Linked DNA regions of Mus musculus: region 2 is reported to be linked to region 1. The links are microRNA targets in miRTarBase. Many come from high-throughput screens and were not tested one by one. Region 1 holds a microRNA gene; the other region holds the end of a gene's coding sequence.
The links. Region 1 holds the annotated microRNA mmu-miR-201-5p (UACUCAGUAAGGCAUUGUUCUU, at 1,844-1,865, opposite strand). A microRNA usually pairs through its seed, bases 2 to 8, with sites in the 3' UTR of a target mRNA and lowers its output. Matches are read on the target gene's strand: a 7mer-m8 pairs with bases 2 to 8, a 7mer-A1 pairs with bases 2 to 7 and ends in A, and an 8mer does both.

Region 2: the mRNA of Tmem170b is a reported target of mmu-miR-201-5p. Seed matches in the 3' UTR shown: 7mer-m8 at 1,473-1,479 and 7mer-m8 at 1,217-1,223.

What each region holds. Positions count from the first base shown.
Region 1 is chrX:67,986,292-67,989,560 of GRCm38, forward strand. It overlaps Mir201 (microRNA 201), which reads right to left and starts at 1,870; the gene lies at 1,805-1,870. It overlaps Mir547 (microRNA 547), which reads right to left and starts at 2,160; the gene lies at 2,083-2,160.
Region 2 is chr13:41,634,146-41,637,145 of GRCm38, reverse strand. Tmem170b (transmembrane protein 170B) reads right to left here. Exons shown (of 3, transcript NM_001163572.2): 3 at 1-2,690. The coding sequence ends at 2,560. Among named protein-coding and RNA genes, the nearest start is that of Gm5082, 13 kb to the left of the region's middle.

The DNA of each region.
Region 1 (3,269 bases):
TTGTTCCCCATTCTAAGGAGAAACAAAGTATCCACACTTTTGTTTTCCTTCTTCTTGAGTTTCATGTGTTTTGCAAATTGTATCTTAGGTATTCTAAGTTGCTGAGAGGACTCTGATATAACTGTCTCTTGTTAGGTTATGCCAGTGCCTGACAAATACAGAAGTGGATGCTCACGGTCATCTATTGGATGGAACACAGGACCCCCAATGAAAGAGCTAGAGAAAATACCCAAGGAGCTGAAGGGGTCTGTAACCCTATAGGAAGAACAACAATATGAACTAACCAGTACCCCCAGAGCATGTATAGCAGACCTTGGCCTAGTCAGCCATCATTGGGAGGATAGGCTCTTAGTCTTGTGAAGATTATATGCCCCAGTACAGGGGAGTGCCAAGGCCAGGAAGCAGTATTGAATGGGTTAGGAAGTAGGTTTGGGGGAGGGTATAGGGGACTTTGGGGATAGCATTTGAAATGTAAATGAAGAAAATATCTAATAAAAATGTGGAAAGGAAAAAAGGAGGTAGTATTAACTTACAGTAGTTATTCTTGAGGTTCTTTTTTATTTCTGTTGGTAAATGAGATCTGTGGCAATTCTGTGTTTCTGTCATCTATATCTGCAGATTTTGACAAGTGTTATAAGGGCACTCATCTGCATACAAACATATATCTGAAACTTTAAGGTGTTAAATAGGAACAAATATGTGTTGAGCCATGCAGAGACATGGTTTTTATTGTTTTGTACCTTACCACTTAAAGATCCTCAACTCCTGAGCAATGAAACAATAATGATGCACGTATAGGATACCTGAAACAAAGAATATAATCATTTATAAGGTCTAGAATGGAGAAAATGGAAATCCCATTTCCTACTCACAGTCTAGAATGCGGAAATCCCATTTGAGTTATCAAGAAAGCTTTATGGAATAAAAAAATCATGTACTCTAAAAATGTCCATATATTGTTCTAAGTTCTTTGGTTTCCTTGACCATTCCCTTCATGCATGATGATTATCAGTATAATCTACCATCTTCTATTCTGGGATGCACACAGCTAGTTACTTGAAATTATCTCAATCTGAACTGGGAACAAATTGAAAGAAATGCCTGGACCAGTATCAGAATGAGCAAAACTGTGGCTTAAAATATGGAGAACTTACTCCTATCATTCTTTTGAAGACACATATTAGAAGTTTTAAATAGATATACTCTAGCTAAAAGCATTAGATTTGAAATAAAATGGAATATAGTAGAAGGGTTTGATGTAGTTTACAAGCAAGGGGGCATTGACATATCTCGATTCTCCTAATACAGAAATGTAACAAAACAGTACAACCTGATGCCTCTATTTATCTCTGTCTCTGTCAGTATTTCCACCTGTAATGATATGATTTTTAGCAAATAAACATAGATAGGATGTTATCAAAAGCACACAAGAATACTGAAAGAAATCAGAATGAGTTTTGTTCTTGAGGGGAAAAGTAGCATTTGCTTACATAAGAAACAAATATTGTAAAAATATCATAGAGGTACAAATTTTTATAGCTTTAAAATAATAAATGGTTTAACTATATAAAGATGTATGACTAAAAGGTGAAAGTGAACGATATATCTTGCCTTCCACTTGGTTAGTTGTAATATCAACTTGAAAGGACAAACATTTTTCTAAGAGACTCTTAGTTTCTAGATCTGGTTCCTTAAGAGGTATACAAGAGAGCACTTAGAAATAACCCAAGGCTGGATGTTCATTACTGATCTATGACTGAAACTTACTATCAATGCTACCACAAATGTTGTCCATGTTGCACATTACCCTACACAGAAAGGCACTGTTCATTTATTAATATAGAAGAACAATGCCTTACTGAGTAAGGTACTGTACACAGCATCATTGAAAGTAGCCAACTCATCTTAACATAAACACAAAGCAATGAAAAATAGATGACTCTATTCCCAGGGAACATTGCTGTCAATCCTTTCTTGTATACAGCATTCTCCAAAGTGTACTATGAGTTGAAGTAGCAAAAAAATAGCTTATGCTGAGACTCAAGCCCCTTTTCTAGGGTCAGTATTGAGGTGGTAGCTGTTGTGTGTTATCTCACTCAAAGATGTACCAAGCATGTTTCCTGTTAAATGGGTGGTACATCCTCAAGTGATACATCACACACTACATGAGTGAAGGTGCTAACACTAGTCTGTTCCCTCTGCCATTTCATCTAGTAAGCCAATACACACCCTCATTACATGAATCATCAGAAGAATCTTCTCAAAAGACACGAATGACATTCATTCCTCTTACTTCTCTTTTACCACCCCTGTCCTTCTTTTCTACCCAAGTCTTCCTTAAGTCATTTTTGTGTTCTGTCCATATAATAACATAAGAGTTTATGACTGGGAAATATCAGATATCCCCATTCATATCTTCCCTTTATAGATATAGGATAGAGTTTTCATCACCCTATACTTTGTGTACATAAAATTCAGCTCTTGCAGAATGAGTCACTTCAGTAACTCATTAGCTCCACATGTTGCAGGCTGCATTAAATTAAGTAGGAATAGTTCTGAAAAGGGTAAGCTCAGAAACTTGAGGTATTCTTATTCTAAAATGTGGATCTTGGCTTGGTATCATCTTATCCAAGATAAAAGTCCACTGCAGTGGCAGCAGCAGCCATAAACTTACAAGTCAAAAATAAAGAAAGTAAACAAGGAATACATAAAAATAAATGTGCAAGTAAAATTTAAAAAATCCTGAAAAGAGAACAAAGTAAGCAATAGGAGATCTAAACTGTCATTCAGAACTTGAAAGAATACTTATATAAAGTCACAAATAATACAGGAGTAAAAAGATCATACAAAAATGCAGTATATTCAAATACAGCTCAGAAAATTCAAGCAAAGAAAATTATAACAGTAACAACAAAAAACTACATTGTAAATATAAAAAAAAATTTCTATGAATTGTAGCATTCAAAGAAAGGGCCTAGAGACTATCTCTTTACTCATAAATACAGGATTCTTGGCTTCATTTCACACTAATTCCAGACAATACCTAAAATTAAAAACCACAAGAGTTCTTGTAGCCACCTAACGTATAGCAGGACTAGCTGGTACTCTCTGCACAGAGAAATGCTGAGTAGATACCGAAAGCATAATGAGTCTAGGCCATGGCACACTGTAATAATAGCTGGAGACAAAGCTGAGCAGCTTCTCTCCTCTCCTTCATGCCTAAATTCTTCTCTAGTTTTGGTGACATAAAATAGATGACCACAGAGAGA
Region 2 (3,000 bases), not on the chromosome of region 1:
ATGGAACTGACTATGTCAGTGAGAGCTTTTGTCAGATCCAAAACAAGGGTCTCCAGCAAACCCTTAAATACCCTCCAGTCTATTTCAAAGAGCATTTAACCAAACAAATGTATCAACTTCTCCAGAAGAACAGGAAAATGTTCATCAAACAAAGCTTTCCAATTGGACTGTATTCATATATAGCTATCTATATATGTATATATAATGATATTCTTATGTGTATATATATATATATTTCATTAAACACTTTGTCTCTATAAGAAACAGCTTCTTGAAAACTTTACCATATAAATAGATATATAGACAGTTTCATAAATCCACACTACTCAATTGCATTTCAAAATACCAAGAGTTGATAGTTACACAAAATCCCAATGGAAATAACTGAAGAAACTAAAAATGCCCATCAAATTAAAAGTGCACACATGAACACAATTCTTAATGCAAATTAGCTTGACAATGAGATGACCGCAGGACAGTCTCTAAAGAGGTAACTAACCCCCTTAGACTTTCACCCTAGAGCACAAAACAAGCGCAATTCTCTTTGGTCCATTCATTCACATAGTCAATGTATCAAGGTAATCTTTAGTTAGTTTTAGATTTGAACAATGGGCTCCGTATTACTTTAACATGATAACTTTCTCAGATCATAAGATAACCATGTTAACACAAATATTTGTTCTGTACACAAGTCAATGTCAGAGACAGTTAAGTCTCACGCTGGCACACAAAGCTCTGAGTTGCTGACAAGAGCAAAGCCAGCCAAACAGGAGAGAAAACTGGGGTTACCTGGAAAAGATGCTCACGTTTAAGTTTAGAAAACAGCAAGAATACAAAGAATGCATGGGAAGAGCAGCAGGCCTGGGCACAGCAGAAGAAATCAATTTCAGGCTTGTTCTCTGACATCTCTAAGGATATAGCTTTGCTTCTTGGTTGATTTTTGGGTTGTTAAATTTCCAAGCCACGTTATTAGTAAGTCTAAGTTGGCTGATGCACTGGCAAAGCAGCTCCTCCCGAAACTGATAATGCATTCTCTGTTAGGGAAAAGGGGCATGGATAATAAACGTCTTCAACCAAACTACGTCAAGGAGCTCAAGGTGCTATGCTATTCTTTAGATTACCTATAAATTCATAATTTCTACAATGGATCTTCCCTTAAGTTAGCACGTTTGTAGTTACAACTGGTTATCACACACACACACACACACACACACACACTCAGTTCAACCAGGGTCTGTACTTTCCCAACTTCCTGTATTTGTAATAAACAACTGTGTGTTTTTCTAAACCTCCTAAAAGGTTTTATAAACAAAGTACATTTCCACTGTTAATGAATGTGACCTGAGACTCTATTCGACTCAGGTAATAACTTAGAATCACAAACTTAAACCACACCGCTAACATCCCCGCTTAGATAAAGGTTCTGCATTGTCTTGATACACTCAGACTAACTGCCAACTTGAAAACCATCCACTCAGTCCTCAGTCTTCCCAAGTGTAATTTTCTCCCTGCCACATACACAGAGGGAGACAGTTTACTGCTCTTCCTATGTAAGGTACTTATTATTTTCCTATAAATGAAGCATTCTTAATCCCAGAGCCTAATTTAGGCCACTCTCTAAGCAGTTAGTACTATAGAATCCAAGACACTCAAGACACGTACACAGTGCACACAATCCCACTGCAATGAATTAGAATATTCTGTGAGATGGAGGCAAAAACCTTTAGAAGGGTTGAAGAATGCAACATGCATTTTAGACTTTTCCTTACAAAATTTATAAGAAAAATGTAAATTATATTTTTATGACACACAAGTGACAATGTGTTTGACTCATAAAGGTTTGATCCATATAAATAGAATATGATATATGAGGGAAACTATGAAAGGTGTAGGTTACTGAAAAGTATGCACCCTACAAGTCTGAGTCCATAGAACAGCTCAGCTAGTCGTCCACTGAGGAGACCAGTGGTTTTCACATAAATTAAATAACAACACAGAGACAGATTAAAGCCCCAAGTTCCAGAACACTCAGCTTAACAAACCGAACACCATCCTTGGTATTGAAAGCCCACTATCCAACACTCATGGGATTAACACGACAAAGCTAAGCCTGGCTACGTTACCTGAATCCATGTCAAGTATACTCACAGCACTCACCTATGTCTACACTTGCAAACTGTCACATGATCAATGTTAACAGAAAGGAAAGTTTGGCACATAGATCAATTTCTCAAAACGTTCCTGTAACTTAACACAACACCGTTGAGAACGACGGTTTCAACACCAATGTTAACCTGATTGGCAACTAAACAAGGTGCTTCTTCTTGCAGCTTCACAGAGAGTCTTGTGCACCTTGCCTGGGATGGAGGCACGTAAGGTGCAGTGCGGTAGTGCAAACGTTTGGACGCCAGAGGGCAGGCTTGCCACACGGCTCAAGGTCTTCCCTAGGTTTTTCTTGCTGGGTCCCTGCTTGTACCACTTCATTTCAGCTGATTAACCACACATTTCCGGGGACTCTGTCCACACGTTTCCTTAGTGAAGAAGACATTCCCTCAGAACTCAGAGTGTGGCGAGGATCCTTGAAAAGGAGATGATGAGTGTCAGCACAGTCTGCCCCACGCCCCACACCAGGGCTTCCAGCGGGGCCATGTTCTTCCCAGCCACTCTGTAGATGCCGGCCACTGCTGCACCTGGGAGGGAAGCAGAGCAGAGTCATCCAGGGCCCCACCTGCCACACGCACGGCTGCCTGCGGCAAGTCACCTTTCAGTTACCTAAACAGAAAACCTTCCCCACTCTTCACCTGACTGAGGATCTCCTCCACACGGCTGGTTAACCGTTCCCAAACCCCACAGAACCACACAACCCAAGAACGGTGCTTTTAACGGAACTCTACAGTCCACAGTTCACGCTCTCAGCACTTTTAATGTGAGGATCTTTTCAATAAGAACTGACACTCATGTTTACTCCAGAATACACTCTCATCCATCCCCTTAAAATGC